Mus musculus: one gene and its partners. The protein of the gene in region 3 binds, or shares a complex with, the protein of the main gene of each other region. Links are inferred from orthologs where the notes say so. Each region holds a gene or a part of one and is shown on either strand. Other genes may lie near its edges. The genes, in order: Nsmce2, Eid3 and Smc5.

Region 1 (4,180 bases), on a different chromosome or scaffold from region 3:
CCTCCAGACCTAACATAGAAATACTCCGTGACAGCTGATACTACAGACGCCTGACATCTCCTCATCCATTAGCACTAAAGACCAGAGCTAAAGACCTTGATTGAGGCCAGGCGTGGTGGCGCACGCCTTTAATCCCAGCACTCGGGAGGCAGAGGCAGGCAGATTTCTGAGTTCGAGGCTAGCCTAGTCTACAGAGTGAGTTCCAGGACAGCCAGGACTACACAGAGAAATCCTGTCTTTGGAAAAAAAAAAAAAAGTAAAAAGTAAAAAGACCTTGATTGCTATTTCACTGAGGAAGCATAAACCACCACGGAAGGGCATCCCTCCCCGCCCAGCAGCCTCGGTTCCTATGTTCTCCTTTCTTTTCAGGTTGAATGAACTAACCACGTCCACTGAGACCACCTCCATTCCACATCAGATCTCCTTTCCTTCTCTCTGTATTCCTCCCTGCTCTCCTGCTCTCCTCAATCAGCAGCTTTCTCCTCGCCCACACCACACCACTCTCCATAGCAAACCAAGGACATCTTTCTCTAATCTTAAAGAAAAGCATCTCCCCCACCTTCCTCTTCCATGACTTCCCATGCTTCTGCCTTCATCCTGGCAGCAAAACTCTCCCATAGGCGTGCCTCCATTTGTTTCAAAGTCCTGTCCTCCAGTCCTGGCCTGGGAGTCTGCCAGGCTCCCACCTCTCCCACTTCACGGGACCTGCTCTCAAGGCCACTACTGCAATCTGTATGCCTTCCTCAGGTGTACTGGCTAGTTTTTTGTCAACTTGACACAGCTGGAGTTATCACAAAGAAAGGAGCTTCAGTTGAGGAAATGCCTCCATGGGATCCAACAGTAAGGCATTTTCTCAATTAGTGATCAAGGGGGAAAGGCCTCTTGTGGGTGGGACCATCTCTGGGCTGGAAGTCTTGGTTCTATAAGAGAGCAGGGTGAGAAAGCCAGGGGAAGCCAGCCAGTAAGGAACATCCCTCCATGGCCTCTGCATCAGCTCCTGCTTCCTGACCTGCTTGAGTTCCAGTCCTGACTTCCTTGGTGATGAACAGCAGTATGGAAGTGTAAGCCAAATAAACCTCCCCAACTTGTTTCTTGGTCATGATGTTTGTGCAGGAATAGAAACCACGACTAAGACATCAGGGAACAATATTTCCGTTTGCACTCCTTTGGGCTCTTAGCTCTTTCCATCTCTTCCAAGAGCTGTCTAGAGCCCCAATCCACAACTGCTAGTCCTCCCCATACCTTCCCCAACACATACTCTTCACTTCCCCGCCTCCTCCAGTCTCATCTGTCTGCTAAGGTCTAAATGTTTGGGTCCCCATCCCCACTTTACATACTGAAATCCTAATGTCCAAACTGGTGGTTTTAGAAGATAAGGCCTTTGGCGAGGTGACTAGCTACACCCTCCAGAACATTATTAGTCCCTTATAACGGGTGCTCCAAGGGCTCTCTTGCTTTTCTACCACCCAAGAAAACAGCAAGTGCATGCCATTTACAAGCCAGAAAGCATGCCTTCACCAGACACTGAATCTGATGGTAAGTTGGCCTCGGGAATTCTCAGCCTCTACGACATCAGTTTCTGATGCTTTTGAAACTACATAGATATAGTATTTCATTTATTGACATCTGAACATTCTAACACTATTCCTTGGGGATTGGTTTAACCTAGGGTTTGGAGGTTTAACACCTCCCCCAGGGAACTTCTAACATCACGTGGGGGCATTTTTGACTGTGGCACTGGAGGGGGGTTGGGGGGTGTCACAGACCAGCATCTATGGAATTGATAGAATTCTAGCAAGTACAGTACAGTCTCTCACCACAAGGAATCATCTGAAGACAAAGCGTAATCATCACATTAGTTAAGAAACACTGATTTACACCAACCCCTTCTTGGATCCTCTTTCCAATAACACCGATCTTTTTGTTACCAGTACCTATAGCCTCCAAGACAATCTACAACAAAGTTAAGCACTTCCTGAAGTCTCACCAAGTTATTGGGCTCAGCACACTATTTTGCTTCCCTTATATTCATGAAAGAGTTGCTGTCAAGTTAAGCCAGTTTTAAATAGGAAAACACGTTTCTGCACAGCATTACAGTAGGCATAGAGCAAACCAAAAGTTCGACCGCCTTTAAATCCAAGGTGATCTCATACGACAAGAGTTGAAGTGTCTCCGTTTTCAGCATGCATACACCCTTCTCTCTGAAACCTTCCCTCGCCCACGGCTCCTCCTCTTCCACACGCCTTCTCAGTTCCTAACACACATCTCTACTATATAACTTAATACGGCTAATTGCCGACTTCTACCATTCCTTCATGCTGGGATCTCCTTAAACTGGAACATGCATTAGAAGATATAAAACGTCGCCTCACAAAAATGAAATGAGCAGGACTAAATCCGTTAAGTTACCAAAGTAATAATAAAAACTACTACCATTTCCGGGTCACCACCAACATGCCCGTGCCCAAGAAGGTTGCCTCCCGCCCCGCTTCCCCCCTCTTTTTTCACACCGAGGCTACCACATCCCTTCACCTGCAGAAGTGAAATGGCACCTGTGGCCTTGAGTCCATCTGAGCTACCTGTTCATGCCTCAGTTTCAAAAGTCAGTTCTAAACAGTTTGTTTTGTTTTGATCACATAACCTGTGATCATATGTGAGCATAACCCGCCTCCGTCTAGTTGCTGCGGGTGAAGAGGCTCAGGCCCAGGTCCCCAGAGCACAGAGGGAGGCGACAACGCCGGCTAGACCCCTATCACGGTTCCTCCTGGATCTTACCTGGCTGTCCCACCTAGCTCGGTGATATCTAGCCGAACGTCGCACGCCCAGACCCCGACTCCTTTCCTCAGCCCACTTCTGTGGCTGAAACGACCCGCGCGCGCTCTGCGTCATCACTTGGCGCCCGCGAGCGATCACATGATGCCCGGGCCCGGGCCGCCGCCCCTTGGTCACGTGACGGGCTAGGGACTCCAGGACAGAAACCCGGGTCCCGGCAGCTGACGCTCTGCGGCCCGGGACTCTAGGGGGATCCCTGGGGTGGGAGACGGGGACCGGGGCGCCCAGTCCACGCGGCCAGCGTCGGACGGCTGACAGGTGAGTCGGAGGCGGGCCTGCGGGTTCGAGGTCCATTCCTTCCCCCGTGGGCCACGTCCGGTACTGTCCCCGGAGCCAACGGGAAAACCTAGGGCTTGCAGGGTTGGGGTTGCACGCCTGATGTTCACCCACGCCTTCATGGAAATCGCTCTTGCATGCTTCTTTGAAGCTTTTGGGGTGATGCTCAGCTACTTGGCCCATAGCTGAGCTTGCAAGTTTCTCGGAGCGGTGCCTTGCTAATGTGGCTGATCTTGCACTTACTCTCCAGAAAATCAAGTAGTCACTGGAGTGATGATGGGCGAGAGCGCGCGGGGGGGTGGGGGGGGGGGTGGGGGGGGGAATAAAAGTCCTGTCGCTCACTGTGAGTTTGTGCAAGTCGTTCCTCTATACCCTAGTCTCCCTCACCTGAGACATGGTGCTGTAGTCCTTGTATTGGGGGCAGGTAGTTCTACTGGGTCCTGATTCTTCTATGATAGGAAATTTAAAAGTTGGACTCATAAAAAAAGAAAAGAAAAGTTGGACTCTTGATTTCTATATAGATGAGGGATAGTGAAGGAGTTTTATTATCTCTAACCACAGCCAGGGACTCTTTCCTTAGGTCTGCTGTTCTCACTTGTGGGTTTCATGACCCCTTTAGCAAACCTGTTTCCATAAACGTTTACATTATGATTCTTAACAGTAGCAAAATTATAGTTACTAAGTATCAATGAAAATGATTTTATGGTTGGGGTCACCACAACATGTATTAAAAGGTCAGGAAGGAAAGTTGTCTTAGATGTTAAGAATTAATGAATCAGGACTTGAGAGATGGGCCCAGTGGCTAAGACTGTTTGTTTTTCCTGAGGCCCCGGGTTCAATTCTAAGTACCCATGTGGTGACTCTCAACTATCTATAACTCCAGATCCAGGGGATCCAACACCCTCAGACATCCATGCAGGCAAAACACCAATGGACACAAAATAAATATAATTTTAAAAATTCATGAGTCACATTGGGGTGATCCAGCTTATTCCAGAACTTTTCTGGGACAGCCTCTGTTATGGATTTGAGACTGCTTTCTTTAGGGATCTGAGGTTTTGTGAAAAGAAGA
Region 2 (3,361 bases), on a different chromosome or scaffold from region 3:
GTTCCAGGACAGCCAGGACTACACAAGAAACCCTATCTCGAAAAACCAAAAAAAAAAAAAAAAAAAGAAAAAAGATCAGTAATAGTTTTTAAGATAGAGTGGAATACGCAGGAGACCGATTTTGCAAATGAGGAAACTCAAGTATATGGAAATTACAGAAGCATTTTTTTTTTTCATTTAAAGATGTGTACATTTAAATGTGGATATGTGCGTGTTGAGTACAGAGGCCTGTATGTACATCCTCAACCTAAAAATATTTTTCTTTTCCTAAAACCTAAAACAATGAAAAAAATCATTGCTTTGTATATAAAAGAACATAGTAAGTATGTACTCGGTAGTTAAAACCACTGATTATATAATTTTTATTCTATATGTTATAATTCCCATCTTATAAATGAGGGACAGTGGTGGCTTGCAGATTTAGCACCCGTCTAAGTTAATATAAGTAGATAAAGACTGGGACACAGGCTTTTCTTCCAGCCCATTTTTAGATTGGATTCCTTGAGGTGGAGTTAAAGTTGTGAGCCTGTAAGTGCTCTTAACATCTAAACCTTGTCTCCAGCCCCTTCAGCCCATTTTAAAAAATTAAAAATTAGTATTGTGATATATGTATGATGTATGTTTAGGCATGAGTACCCTGGTCTGTATGTCAAGTTTAAAAGACAGCATATGTGTAGACATGAGTACCATGGTCCATGTATGGAATTCAGAGGACAAGTTTGCGGAGTTGATTCTTTCACTCACGTTGAGTGGTTCGTCTTTTTGAAGGTTTATTTTTAAAAGTATGTGCATGCACACATGATTGCCAGTGGAGGCTAGAAGGAAGTGTTGGAACTGGAGTTACAGGCAGTGGCTGTGAGCTACCCCATGGGGTGCTGAACTCTGTCACTGACAGAGTCCCGTGCCCCCCCCCCCCCCCCAAGCTTTCTGTGGTGAGAGTTGGGTATGATGCGCTTGTTGAACTTAGAAACAAAACACTCCTCACATTGTTAAATCGCTGTGCACTGATAACTCCAGCCACTTAATTGCGCCATGGGTCACTGGTGAGCTGGTGTGTGGTTCCCAAAGCATATTATTCACCCAGTAGGTGATAACACAGATGGTGCGAGATGATACTAAAAATCTTCTTAGTTTGCTCATCTTATAGGATTCAGGTTAACCTCCTCTGTAGTGTATAAAAGCATTTAGCCTTTGGCAGGCTTCCCTTGCAAAATCCTGCCTGCCCACTGTTCTTCCACCCTTGAGTGGAGACACTCCTAAGAGTGTAAGGGATGGTGGGGGTGGGGGGCAAGAAGCATCCTTCATGCTGTGAATTAGCATGTACTTCCCTCTAAGCAGAAAAAGAACAACGGGAGCCTGGGCTGGAGGTGTGGTCTCTGTGAGCTGGGGGGCGGGGTTGCTTGCGCATGGGCAGGAGGCTCTGTTCCAACGGCTTACCTTTGCCATCTCGCGTCGCTACGGTTGGTAGGTAGTATGGTAGTAGCCCTGGGAGAGCTGTTACCTGCGCACCACCACCATGTCTAAAGAAAAATGTTCCCTTACTGGAGGCAAAGAGAAAAGAGGGGAGCTGGTCCGGAGTCTGGCATGGCAGCACCTGGTGAAACAGGAGGAGGAAGAGGCAGTGAAGAAGGAAGAAAAGGAGGAAGGGGAAGATGAGGAGGAGGAAGGCTCAGACAGTAGCTCCGATGACCCGAACCCCGAGCCCCCCTGCATGCACCCAGACCTCCTGGAGCTGGTGGTGGATCGAGAGAAGTGCCGCAAAATCCGCAGGCAGTACCGGCAGCTCATCTACACCGTGCAGCAGAACCGCGAGGACATTGTGAACACGGCCAGCGACACGCTGAGTGAGGCCCTGGAGGAAGCCAACGTGCTGTTTGACGGAGTGAGCAGAACCAGAGAGGCAGCCCTTGATGCCCAGTTCCTGGTTTTGGCCTCTGATCTGGGTAAAGAGAAGGCGAAGCAGCTAAACACCGATATGAACTTTTTTAATCCCATTGCCTTCTGCGATTTGCTGCTGTTGTTTGTGGGCTTCAATTGGGTAGAAGAGGAGTGTAAGGAATTTAGCGACTGCGATGATAGCATAGTTCTTTCCTTTTGGGGCATGTTGCACGAGGAAGCAACCTCCTGGATGCTGCAAGCCGAAACGTTCCACTTCATTTTTGGGTCATTTAAGGCAGAACGTTCTGCACGAAAGCCCCGGCTTGGATGTCACAAAAGAGCTTGCAAAATGGAAGGAAGTGGAGATATGCCTACAAAGTTGAGGAGGCTGGATGTGCATGCTAATCAGGAGACGACAGAAAAAGAAGTTGAGAGAATCTTGGGATTGCTGCAAACCTACTTTCAAAAGTACCCCGATACTCCAGTGTCATACTTTGAGTTTGTGATTGATCCAAACTCATTCTCTCGCACTGTGGAGAATATCTTCTATGTGTCTTTTATTATTAGGGATGGCTTTGCAAGAATAAGGCTTGACCAAGACAGGCTGCCAATTCTAGAGCCAACTAATGTGAGCCAGGTGGATGATGAAAGTGATTCCTATTCGTACTGCAGGAAACAAGGCGTTATATCTTTGAGTTTACAGGACTGGAAAAATATTGTCTCCACTTTTGAAATTTCAGAGGCTATGATCAAAAACTCATATTAAAGAGTTTTATTCATAGTATATCTTGAACTAACATCGAAAAATGGAATCTAAACAGAAGCACAAACTCTAGTAAACTATTTTCAAGAACAAATGAAATTGTCTACTGTGCAGTGTATTTTACTTGATAATCTAATAAGGTTGTAATCTTAAAAGTTCACTCTCATGCTTATGGGAAAGTTTTTTTGAAATTCACATGACACTCTCAGTAAGCTCCCGAGTTTCTTAGAAAGTATTAATTAGCCAACTTGCTAAACACAAAAACCAGGACTCACTGGGATACTGAATTGCTTTTTCTGACGCTGCAAAACTAAGGGCAAGGGGGCTTTTCACCAGGTCGGGGCAAGAGTGAGAACAAGACAAGAAAAGTCAGTAGTGTTCAGACTCTCAAGTCCAGGTGACGGGCTTCCTTTCAAAAAGTGGATCTCTGTATTCTGAACTTTGTTTTTGATAAATGAATTTAATAAAAGTGTGTGTGTGTACTGTAAGACTGAAGCCACTAAGTCTTGAAAGGCAGGTCCAAGTTAGACAATAGGGAAGGCATCCTGGCTTGGTTTTGAGACAGGGTCTCCTCATGGAACCCTGGCTGGCCTGGAACTCACAGTGACCTGCCTGCACCTGCCTCTGCCTCCCACCACACTGGGGGAGAAGGCATCCTAGGGAAGAAAACAAGATCAAATCTGTGCCACTGAGACGAGTCATGACCCAAGAGGCTGGGCA
Region 3 (3,650 bases):
TTAGGAACCACTGCACTCCAGGGCCTCCTGTAAGATTCCTACCAGTCCAAAAGGAAATGTGGTTTCTTTAAAATTAAAACTGCATGGCCGATAAAAACTACTACAGCACAACCCATTCTAATTGTACAGAATTAGAGACTACAACCCAAGAGACCAATGAGGAGGGACTGAACTCATGACTTGACAAAGGATATAGAAAAATCCAAGCTAGTCTTTGCAAATTAACTACTTCAACCTCTTTATCATCTAAATCAAAGTTTGATGTCCGGACGACTGTTAAAGGTCACAAGGCTAACTTATCAACAGAGCAAAGCATCTTTTCTAGCCCACAAATATCTCTGGTATAGCTTGCTTTTAAAAAATATTTATTTAATTTTAGGGTATACTGGTTCAATTCTGTAGCATTATATTACAATGCTTATATACAGCTCTAATTCTGCAGTGCTCTCAGCAGTTCACTTTAAGCTGTACCAAAATACTTTTTATTTAAGCTTTTAAAATTATATTTATCTGCAACAGAACATATGTCATGTCCCGTGTGTGTATCAGCTGTCTCCTCCCAACCAGTGGGCTTCAGGGATGGAACTCAGTTGCCTGCTTGCTAGCAAGCACTTTTACCCACTGAACTATCTCACTTTCCCTCATACTTTGCACTACTGCAGAGTAGCAAAATCTGGTTCCCAGCACCCACAATGAATGGATGGCTCACAACTGTAACTCTAGCTCCAGCTATGGATAGGACACCCTTTTCCAGTCTCCACAGACACACAAGCTCTTTAAAAAACCAACCCACCCCCCAAACAACAACAACAACAACAACGACAACAAAAGGCAGTACTTTTTACTACATCATTTTGTTTACTGTTAATGGACAGACATTCAACCAAGTTTCATCTAACCAGGTATCTAACAACCCTGACAGATTTCCCTATTAAGGCATCAGGATTATTTGAAAATTCTTTTTTAGTGAAGAAACTTTCTCTGTCTGTGATTGCTGTTATCAGTTCTTTGTTTTAGAGCAATATTAGAAGTAACCAGAACTTTCTCCCGAGACTATCAGTGCCCGTCTAGAAGTTTTAGGTAAAAGAAAGCTCATTTGGTATACGTAAGAACCTAAAATACAGAAATTAACTTGTTTCTAGAAACAAATGGTTCTGAATTTTCTTTAAAATTATGTAATTTAAATAAACCAGGCATGGTGGTACATAACTTTAATCCCAGCATTCGGGAGGCAGAGGCAGGCAGATCTCTAAGCTCGAGACCAGCCTGGTCTACAGATGTAGTTCCAGGGCAGTCACAGTCAGAGCCGCTTCAAAGAGAAACCCTGTCTTGAAATTCCAAAAAGCAAAGAGGAAACTCTGTTAACTGACCTTATCTGCACGTCCCATGAAAGCAGGTTTGCCTGCGAGTCCGAGGCAAATGGCACACACGATGCTTGACTTCCCTGTTCCATTGGCTCCAATGATCATGTTCAGATGGGGCCCAGGAGACACTTCACAGATGTCATATGTTCTGAATTGTAAAGGAGCAATATCATTAAGCAGAAGTAAGAGAAAACCCTTTTCTTTGTAAATGAATCTTCTTGTTACTTTGCATTATCAGTGTCCACAACCCTTTTATAATTCATTTAAAAGCCAGCTACCATTATGAATGTAAGGTTATTCATATATTTAGGAGCACGAGGACTGAAGAGCCATGCCAGGGTCTTTCCTATGCTAGGTAGGTGCTTTATCACCTAACTCTATACTCAACCCTGTAAACTTGAAATAATCAACTTCTAGAGGGAAAACTCTTACAATGGAAAAGTAACAATGCAGATGTAAAATAAGACCACAGGAGCTCAGCATGGTGGCACAAGGCTTTAATTCTAGCATTCAGGAGGCAGGGCTTTAAAAACCTGGTTAAAATAAACCTGTGAGTTTGGGGCCAGTCAGGGCTACATAGTGAGAGATTCTGTCAAGCGACAACCCAAGTTTGAAACCATTTAGCTTCTTTTGGGAGACTATATCAAAGCTATTGCACTTATTTTTACCTCTATTTTTGTAAAACAATTTTAAAACAAATTGGTACAAGAAGTCATGGCTTCTTTCCTAATGTCTTACATTTACTATTTTTCTTGAATTAAAACAGTAGCTACTTCTCATATTTTAATATTTAAAGCAATCTAACAATTATTCAAATGACAAAATAATCATTAAATCAATAGCTTCATTTTATCATCAATTAAAATTTTTTTTCAAAAAGGGCCTTGACAAGAATCCACGACAGACTAGTTCTGATAATCCCCGTTTCTCTAGGAGAAGGCAAGGATGCATAAGCAGAGAGAGCTGTAACCCTTGTACACACCATGGCATCCTCCCTGCACAGTTAGTCCATAGCTACAGGAATTAAATAATTTATATTCAGGCCCTATAAGTTTTATATATCTGCTTCTAAATCTGCTGCTTCTGTGAGCTCTTAATTTAAGTGATTTTTTTAATTCTACATATTTTTTAAGATTAATTTTAGTTTTTTTATTTACTTATTTATGTTTTTCGAGACAAGGTTTCTGTGTAGCCCTGGCTATCCTGGAAACTTACTCTGTAGACCAGGCTGGCCTTGGATGCAGAGATCCGCCCACCTCTGCCTCATAAGGACAAGGACTAACGGAGCAAGATGTCTGTCTTTATTACTTATTTTTAATCTGTATTTAATTCTCATTACTTATCAAGGCAGCTTTGGCAAGATATGAAGTAAGCTATAACCTAGACATTTCTCTAGCTTGCCTTTCAAAATCCTTAATTAGAATCCATAAATATCCCTTCTCTAGGTTTTTAGTGCTTAGGTATACCTAACTAATCTCTAAGTATAAATGCCAGAGTGCTACTAATATGCTAAATATATAAATAATTTAACAAAGCATACCAACTTTAACATTTAAAACGTTAAAAAGCCAGGTGGCAACAAAAATATGCATGTGACAAAGAACTACATGGATACACATGGAAATCTAGTATCACTTGTTAAAAAAAGAGGTGGTGCTGGAGAGATGAGTCCACTGATGAGAGCTTTATCCTCTTCCAGAGGCTTCAAGTTTGGTTCCCAGAACCAACATAGTACAGCTAACAACCACTTGTAACTGGAGCCCCAAGCCATATGATGTCCACTCCTGGTTTTATATATGTGTGTGCATGCATGTGTGTGTACACCTGTACACACACACACCTTAAAAGGCTTTGTAGCCGGGCGTGGTGGCGCACGCCTTTAGTCCCAGCACTCGGGAGGCAGAGGCAGGCGGATTTCTGAGTTCCAGGCCAGCCTGGTCTACAAAGTGAGCTCCAGGACAGCCAGGGCTATACAGAGAAACCCTGTCTCGGAAAACCAAAAAAAAAAAAAAAAAAAAAAAGGCTTTGTAACTCAGCCCTAGTTTCAACTTTTTCCTATCTCCTTTTTCTATCTCTACTCAGAACTCTAAATTCTATTATATATTTCTTCTAGTTTCCTGACTAATCTGTGCTTCCTTTAGCTTATAACTCTCCCTCTACTCTCAACCTATCTGACTTAATTTGCTCACAGCAACCTCCTGTCCTATCTCTAGTCCATCTGAATTCTCTAAGCTTAGCTAGCCCCCCTACTTGCTTGGGACTCACTTCTCTCAGACTCGTTCTGTG

What was found.
Region 1: Smc5 (region 3) and Nsmce2 share a complex: the UniProt entries of both Homo sapiens proteins name them as parts of the SMC5-SMC6 complex. The link is inferred for Mus musculus from reciprocal best matches to the Homo sapiens genes SMC5 and NSMCE2.
Region 2: Smc5 (region 3) and Eid3 share a complex: the UniProt entries of both Homo sapiens proteins name them as parts of the SMC5-SMC6 complex. The link is inferred for Mus musculus from reciprocal best matches to the Homo sapiens genes SMC5 and EID3.

The regions. Positions count from the first base shown.
Region 1 is NC_000081.6:59,372,951-59,377,130, reverse strand, and holds the start of Nsmce2 (E3 SUMO-protein ligase NSE2), read right to left. Parts: upstream 2,934-4,180; 5' UTR 2,776-2,933; intron 1-2,775. UniProt on the Homo sapiens protein: E3 SUMO-protein ligase component of the SMC5-SMC6 complex, a complex involved in DNA double-strand break repair by homologous recombination. Is not be required for the stability of the complex.
Region 2 is NC_000076.6:82,865,191-82,868,551, forward strand, and holds Eid3 (EP300-interacting inhibitor of differentiation 3), read left to right. Parts: upstream 1-1,435; 5' UTR 1,436-1,516; coding exon 1,517-2,644; 3' UTR 2,645-2,740; downstream 2,741-3,361. UniProt on the Homo sapiens protein: Tissue-specific component of the SMC5-SMC6 complex, a complex involved in repair of DNA double-strand breaks by homologous recombination.
Region 3 is NC_000085.6:23,267,357-23,271,006, forward strand, and holds part of Smc5 (structural maintenance of chromosomes protein 5), read right to left. Parts: intron 1,513-3,650; coding exon 1,371-1,512; intron 1-1,370. UniProt on the Homo sapiens protein: Core component of the SMC5-SMC6 complex, a complex involved in repair of DNA double-strand breaks by homologous recombination.